2 linked regions of the Xenopus tropicalis genome follow. The protein of the gene in region 1 interacts with the protein of each later gene in a biochemical or structural test. Links are inferred from orthologs where the notes say so. Each region holds a gene or a part of one and is shown in the gene's direction. Other genes may lie near its edges.

The links.
Region 2: the proteins of smarca5 (region 1) and pole3 form a complex in vitro, tested with the Homo sapiens proteins (2 studies listed by BioGRID). The link is inferred for Xenopus tropicalis from reciprocal best matches to the Homo sapiens genes SMARCA5 and POLE3.

Annotation. Positions count from the first base shown.
Region 1 is NC_030677.2:59,224,588-59,228,400, reverse strand, and holds part of smarca5 (SWI/SNF-related matrix-associated actin-dependent regulator of chromatin subfamily A member 5), read left to right. Parts: intron 1-746; coding exon 747-895; intron 896-1,086; coding exon 1,087-1,206; intron 1,207-1,465; coding exon 1,466-1,576; intron 1,577-2,096; coding exon 2,097-2,210; intron 2,211-2,826; coding exon 2,827-2,949; intron 2,950-3,167; coding exon 3,168-3,300; intron 3,301-3,563; coding exon 3,564-3,682; intron 3,683-3,813. UniProt on the Homo sapiens protein: ATPase that possesses intrinsic ATP-dependent nucleosome-remodeling activity.
Region 2 is NC_030684.2:2,369,601-2,374,057, forward strand, and holds the start of pole3 (DNA polymerase epsilon subunit 3), read left to right. Parts: upstream 1-1,558; 5' UTR 1,559-1,602; intron 1,603-3,862; 5' UTR 3,863-3,877; coding exon 3,878-3,943; intron 3,944-4,335; coding exon 4,336-4,421; intron 4,422-4,457. UniProt on the Homo sapiens protein: Accessory component of the DNA polymerase epsilon complex. Participates in DNA repair and in chromosomal DNA replication.

The DNA of each region.
Region 1 (3,813 bases):
CTACCTGAACAAAGCTAATCACTAGTTGCCATTAGGTTACAGCACAAGAGTATGGTACGTATAGGCAGAGTAGGGCAGGCAGAGTATGGCACACACAGGCTGTACTCTGCCTGTGTGTGTGTGCGCCATACTCTGCCTGCCCTATGCTGCCTGCGTGTGCCTTACTCTGCCTACCCTATGCTGCCTGCATGTGCCATACTCTGCCTGCCTTATGCTGCCTGTGTGTGCCTTACTCTGCCTACCCTATGCTGCCTGTTAGAGGTAAACCTGGCAGGGGTTTATTCTGGAAGTTTGTTAGCATTTGGAAATAGTAATATATGGTCCCTAAGATGTGTAATTTTATACTGGGGGATGCTGTGCTATCCACAGGTGAGGAGGAGGCATATGGATTTAAGGGTGTGTCGTAAATATTATAATTCTTTCACATATGAATGAAGGGTGATATCCCTACATCATTTGGGTTTTTGCTGCACTAACACCCTTACTGTTAGAAGCTCTTGTGATGGGTGTGGTTGGAAGTGTTTGTGGTTTTAAAAAAAAAAAAAAAAAAAAGGGGGGGGGTGGTCAAAACTGACTTCCATTATCGGCCCTTTGTACCACAGAAATTGGACAACACTGGTCTAGATATTTGAGTCATTCACAGGAATGACTCCAGATATTTTTATGGTTGTATCAATGGTGTGGGGTTTTTTTTTTTTTTTTTTTGCTTAATGTTTTACTGACTAACCTTTTTCCATATATTTCAGGTAGATTAGTGGACCAAAACCTAAATAAATTAGGGAAGGACGAAATGCTTCAAATGATTCGACATGGTGCTACTCATGTATTTGCATCAAAGGATAGTGAAATCACAGAGGAAGACATTAATGCAATCTTGGAGAGAGGGGAGAAGAAGGTACATTTTTATAGGCCTTTAACACTGAAGAGACATACAGAATCTCTCTGAACAAACTGTTACCCAGGATATTGTAATATATGCTAGCAATAGGATACCATTGGCACACCAGATGTTAGCATTTTTGAGTTGTTATGCAACAGTATACATTATTCCATTACTTTTTTTGCATTTTCTTTTTTTCCTTTAAGACTGCAGAAATGAATGAGAAACTCTCAAACATGGGTGAAAGTTCCCTTAGAAACTTCACGGTGGATAATGAATCCAGTGTTTATAACTTTGAAGGTGAAGATTACAGAGAAAAGCAAAAGGTGAGTCATATTTTCCATAGGTGTGTATTTAGTCTTACGGGCTTCTATAATTGGCTTCTTGCTTAATATGAGCTTCAGAAAATATGGGTGTTATCTAAAGATGCTAAGATTGTATAAAGTATGATAAACAATTAACTACAAAGATAATTAAAATTACTCCTTGAGTACCATAAAAATTTCCATGATTTTAAAAAAGTTAAAAACTATTCAAGTTAAGCATTATGGGAATCCTAACTTTCTTTCTGATATTAACTTATAGATGGCATTTACAGAGTGGATTGAACCACCGAAAAGGGAACGAAAAGCTAATTACGCGGTAGATGCGTATTTCCGCGAAGCACTCCGTGTTAGCGAGCCAAAAGTACCAAAGGTGAGTAGCTGAGTGCTACAGCAGTACTGGATGCAGTGAGAGGGATCACTAATTACTTTAGATCTGGAAATGGTATTTTTGGGTAGGGCTACAAAAGTCCAAAGCTGTATTTGGGGGTAATTGATTCAGCATTGTCATATATGGTATTGCTGTTTCAAGTACATGAGTTGTATTTGTCATAAGTCTGTGAGACCTTGGGATGGGAGGGTAAGTTGAAAATATACTGCTTAAAGTAATGCAGATATTTGCTGCAGGGGTAGATGATGGTTACTAATGTTACAAGATTTAGATCTTTAAACGCATCTCTAGAGGTGTGAAATATTGCGCTAATTAGAAAAGTTCATGCTAAGCTGCTCCTTGCTGATGTAAAGAATTGTCTGCCATATAAACTACAGAAGCTCATTCTAGTTTCCATCTCTATATGTAATTATCTGTATAGTGGAGACATGAGCTTGAAAAGAAAAATGTTGGTTCCCTTACTGTGCAGCTTATGTCATGTAAATAATATTATGTCTTATAGGCTCCCAGACCCCCAAAACAGCCAAATGTTCAAGATTTTCAGTTTTTCCCTCCACGTCTATTTGAGTTATTGGAAAAAGAAATTCTCTATTACAGGAAAACAATTGGCTACAAGGTAAGTTCTCATTTCTAAATTAAATGTGATAAGTGCCAATTTGTTTTGCAAGGTTCCTATTAAGTCTTTTCTCTGCAGCTAAAGCCATAGCTGTTATTGTAGTGTTTGGTTGGTAGTATGCAGGTTCCATTGTGCACACATTACTTGTATTGCGGCACACAAAATAAATGTTTTGTAAACCAATGCATATCTGCTTCAGGCCTAGCCTTCTCTTACGCATGTTTGGGTGAAACGACCTCCAGCATACCTACTTTCTCTTGCATGTAGGATAGTCCTTCCCAACAGGCAATGATAATGAATTATAGAAACATTTCTCATTTGATATATAGTGAATTTGCAGGAGCTCAATAAGGTGGTTTGCTTGATTACAAAAACAAAGAGAAGACAATTGGCAAAGGAAGTCAATATGCAATTCAGAGTTATGCAGGGATGCCAGATTGCAAAACAAGATACATTCCATGCACTTTCAGTTTGTAGATGATTTGCTTTACCCCCATTATTCCTAAATCAGAAAATGTTTTTTGAAATGCCAGAGAAATTAATTTTGCCATCTGCTCAAACCACTTGCTGTTTTATGCATATTGATATGACAATTATTTTTTCTTGCTTATTTTAGGTACCACGTAATCCTGATCTGCCAAATGCAGCACAAGCACAAAAGGAAGAACAACTAAAAATTGATGAGGCAGAGCCCCTCAATGATGAAGAGTTAGAGGAGAAAGAGAAATTGTTAACTCAGGTAGGAAGAAACAGTACAGTGCTTTGAAGAGAAACTGCATTTTTAATATGGACAGGATGAAAGTTTGATTAGCGTTGATAAGGTAGATGGTGTATGTAGGGTTTGAGACCAAAAAGCTTGTTGTTTTTAGCCTGTACAGTTCTGTTGCCTGTAGACGTACATTCAAGCATGTTCAGATTCTGGAAGAGTTATGTATGTTTTCCTCTCATGACTTTCAGGGTTTCACAAACTGGAATAAGAGAGATTTCAACCAGTTTATTAAGGCTAATGAGAAATGGGGTCGTGATGATATTGAAAATATTGCGCGGGAAGTGGAAGGCAAGACACCAGAGGAAGTCATTGAGTATTCAGGTAATCCTTTCATTGTAGACACAAATGTTTTTAATTGCTAAATAAACTAGTACAGTATTGTGGATATTCACTGGAAGACCTTCCTAAGCTTAATATGCATTTAGCTTCTGCTTTCACATACTTTTTATTTATTTATTCTCAGGCTCCTGGGCAAGTATTTGCTATGAGACCTATAAAGTCATATTGCTACCTATAACTCTGTACTCAGAAGCCTGTAGTTTCTTTTTATTGTTCCAAGTAACAATTTAATTTTTTTCATTTAGCGGTCTTCTGGGAAAGGTGCAATGAGCTTCAAGATATCGAGAAGATAATGGCTCAAATAGAAAGGGGAGAAGCGAGGATACAGAGGAGGATTAGCATAAAGAAAGCTCTAGACACAAAGGTACCATTGGTATTTGCACACAGTTTAGACTGACGCTTTATTTTTTGCTTAAATTGCTGTGCACATTAAACCCTGCCAGTAGATCCACACACACACACACTAAGGTACAGAGTTATTTACATGCAGGCCTG
Region 2 (4,457 bases), on another chromosome or scaffold:
TATCAGGAGTCAGAACCAGCAGTGCAGGGAAGGGAAAGGGACAGACACAGTGACAGTTACACATAACTAATAACCCAGTGAGAATGAGGAATGAATGGGTATTGGGGAGTTGTATCAGGAGTCAGAACCAGCAGTGCAGGGAAGGGAAAGGGACAGACACAGTGACAGTTACACATAACTATAACCCAGTGAGAATGAGGAATGAATGGTATTGGGGAGTTGTATCAGGAGTCCAGAACCAGCAGTGCAGGGAAGGGAAAGGGACAGACACAGTGACAGTTACACATAACTATAAACCCAGTGAGAATGAGGGATGAATGGGTATTGGGGAGTTGTATCAGGAGTCAGAACCAGCAGTGCAGGGAAGGGAAAGGGACAGACACAGTGACAGTTACACATAACTATAAACCCAGTGAAGAATGAGGGATGAATGGATATTGGGGGAGTTGTATCAGGAGTCAGAACCAGCAGTGCAGGGAAGGGAAAGGGACAGACACAGTGACAGTTACACATAACTATAAACCCAGTGAGAATGAGGAATGAATGGATATTGGGGAGTTGTATCAGGAGTCAGAACCAGCAGTGCAGGGAAGGGAAAGGGACAGACACAGTGACAGTTACACATAACTATAAACCCAGTGAGAATGAGGAATGAATGGGTATTGGGGAGTTGTATCAGGAGTCAGAACCAGCAGTGCAGGGAAAGGAACAGACACAGTGACAGTTACACATAACTATAAACCCAGTGAGAATGAGGAATGAATGGATATTGGGGAGTTGTATCAGGAGTCAGAACCAGCAGTGCAGGGAAGGGAATGAGGAATGAATGGATATTTGGGTGTAGGACACACATAAGGAGTCATGTGACACAAATGACATCACCAAGCACAGATTATAACAGATGACGTCAGTAATATTATATCATTACATTTCAGTAGGGATAATAATCACGTCTAAACCCTCCCCTGAAATCGGGCCCCCAGATCTTTTAACCCTTCATTGCTATAAAGGGATGTGGGAGTTGCAGTCCAATCACGGTTAGTAAGAGTAAAGGGGAAGCAAAGCCTTAGGAACATATTTTGTGTTATTTAACCATCAGGTGTCACATGACTGAGACCCTTACGGGAACAGACCCCCTGTCAGCATCAGACACTGCTCATTCACCCCAATATCTTCCTGCCCCGATTGCGCAAATACAAAAAAAAACTTACCCTCTCCCGGTTACCATAACAACAAAAGACGCTTCCGGGAACATTCCCAAGCAATATGGCTGCCGTGTATTCCAAGCCTCGTTCTCGCAATGAAAGTTCTGCTGAGTGGTTATGAGGCTTGGTACGCGCAAGGCATTCCCGTTACTAAAACCCTCCTCTGTTCAGGTGACACAGAGCAATGGCGGCCCCTTTATTTTGTAAGGTGGAACGCAAGGCGTTAGGAGCGACTGTTGGAACGCAAGCCGGGGGGGGGGTTTGCGTTCCAATAGGGGTTCCGAGGGGCGGGGCTTCTGAGCCACGTGGTGCTGGTAAAGGTTCGGCTGGAAGGCGGGAAGTGGAGAAGGAGGAAGAGCGCGTCTGGTTATTGTTCCTGTCAGTGAGGGGCCCTGAGGTACAGTATGGGGGGGGGGGTGTATCATGGGGCTGGTGGGCCTGTGCGGGGGTCGGTGGGTGCCCAGCTCATCACTCTAACTTTAGGGCTCAGTAACCTGCCCTGTGGTGTTGGACTACAGCTCCCAGCTACTCTCTTTCCCTGCTGTATATTACTCCTGTTCCTGCCCCTCTCCTACCCAGGTACCGCCCCTCCCCTCCCCAGGTGCCGCCCCTCCCCTCCCCAGGTACCGCCCCTCCCCTCCCCAGGTACCGCCCCTCTCCTCCCCAGGTACCGCCCCCCTCTCCTCCCCAGGTACCGCCCTCCCTCCCCACGTACGCCCCCCCTTTCCCCCCTCCCAGGTGCCGCCCCTCCCTCCCCAGGTACGCCCCCCTCTCCTCCCCATGGTAACCGCCCTTCTCCTCCCCACGGTGCCCCGCCCCTCCCCTCCCCAGGTTGCCGCCCCTCCCCTCCCCAGGTACCGCCCTCCCTCCCCCAGGTACGCCCCTCTCCTCCCCAGGTACGCCCCTCCCCTCCCCAGGTCCCCGGCCCCTCCCTCCCCCAGGTACCGCCCCTCCCTCCCCAGGTACCGCCCCCTCCCCCAGGTACCGCCCCTCCCTCCCAGGTAACCCCGCCCCTCCCCTCCCCAGGTGGCCGCCCCCTCCCCCCAGGTGCCGCCCCCCCCTCCCCAGGTGCCGCCCCTCCCCTCCCCAGGTACCGCCCCTCCCCTCCCCAGGTGGCCGCCCCTACCCCTCCCAGGTGCCGCCCCCTCCTCCCAGGTACCGCCCCTCCCCTTCCCCAGGTCCGCCCCCCCCCCGCCCCTCCCCTCCCCAGGTGCCGCCCTCCCTCCCAGGTACCGCTCCTCCTCCCCAGGTACCGCCCCTCTCCTCCCCAGGTAACCGCCCCTCTCCTCCCCAGGTACCGCCCCTCCCCTCCCCAGGTACCGCCCCTCCGCCTCCCCAGGTACCGGCCCTCCCTCCCCAGGTACCGCCCCTCCTCCCGCAGGTACCCGCCCCTCTCCTCCCCAGGTTACGCCCCTCTCCTCCCCAGGTAACCCCCTGCCCTCCCCAGGTACCGCCCTCCCCTCCCCAGGTACCGCCCGCTCCCTCCCAGGTCCGCCCCTCCCTCCCCAGGTGCCGCCCTCTCCTCCCCAGGTACGCGCCCTCTCCTCCCCAGGTGCCGCCCCTCCGCCTCCCCAGGTACCGCCCCTCTCCTCCCCAGGTACGCCCCCTCCCCAGGTGCCGCCCCTCTCCTCCCAGGTACCGCCCGCTCCTCCAGGTACGCCAGCGCCCCGCTCCTGCCCAGGTACTGCCCTACTCCACTTATACCCAGGTCCTGCCCCGCTCCTGCCCAGGTCCTGCCCCTCTCCTCCCCAGGCACTGCCCCGCTCCTGCCCAGGTCCTGCCCCTCTCCTCCCCAGGCACTGCCCCACTCCTCCCCAGGCACTGCCCCTCTCCTCCCCAGGCACTGCCCCTCTCCTCCCCAGGCACTGCCCCTCTCCTCCCCAGGTACCGCCCCTCTCCTCCCCAGGTACCGCCCCGCTCCTCCCCAGGCACCGCCCCTCTCCTCCCCAGGCACCGCCCCTCTCCTCCCCAGGCACCGCCCCTCTCCTCCCCAGGCACTGCCCCTCTCCTCCCAGGCACTGCCCCTCTCCTCCCCAGGTACTGCCCCGCTCCTCCCCAGGCACTGCCCCGCTCCTCCCCAGGCACTGCCCCACTCCTCCCCAGGCACTGCCCCACTCCTCCCCAGGCACTGCCCCTCTCCTCCCCAGGCACTGCCCCACTCCTCCCCAGGCACTGCCCCGCTCCTCCCCAGGTACTGCCCCTCTCCTGCCCAGGTACTGCCCCTCTCCTGCCCAGGTCCTGCCCTGCCCAGGTCCTGCCCCGCCCCTGCCCAGGTCCTGCCCTACCCCACTTATACCCAGGCACTGCCCCGCTCCTGCCCAGGTACTGCCCTACCCCACTTATACCCAGGTACTGCCCCGCTACTGCCCAGGCACTGCCCTACTCCACTTATACCCAGGCACTGCCCCGCCCCTGCCCAGGTCCTGCCCTACCCCACTTATACCCAGGCACTGCCCCGCTACTGCCCAGGCACTGCCCTACTCCACTTATACCCAGGTCCTGCCCTGCTCCTGCCCAGGTACTGCCCTACCCAGGCACTGCCCTACTCCACTTATACCCAGGTCCTGCCCCGCTCCTGCCCAGGCACTGTCCTGCTTATATCCACTTACTGCCCTGCCCATACCCAGGTACTGACCTGTCCCTTTCCTGCCTTCCAGTTGTAGCTGAGCAGAATGGCCGAGAGACCGGAAGATCTGAACTTGCCCAACGCTGTGGTCACGCGGATCATTAAGGAAGCTGTAAGTGAAGTGTTAGCTGTTGGGTTTCCGCTGTTGTTCAGATGGGTCTGCCATGTTCTACACCCTTACAATAGGACTCCACTAACAGAACTCCTGATCCAGTTGGCACTACTGGGTTCCCTCCCACAGCCCAAATACACACACAGGCAGCTCATTGGCCCCTGATAAAACTGCCCCTGTATGTGTGTAATAAGGACCTTAGATTGTAAGCTCCATGTGGCAGGGGCTGATGTTTAATCTCTGCATGGAGCTGCTATACATGTTGTGTGTATATATATATATATATAGCAGCTTGTAGTGTCATGTGATGCAACTCCCTAGGGCTGTAGGGTCTCATCACCAAACCAACTTCCTAAATGCTCCCAACTAATGCTGATTGTCTTCTCTTCCAGCTCCCAGAAGGGGTTAATATCTCCAAAGAAGCACGGAGCGCAATATCCCGGGCGGCCAGTGTCTTTGTATTGTATGCGACATCTTGGTAAGGGTCCCAGGGGTACTCTGTACTGTCATAGGG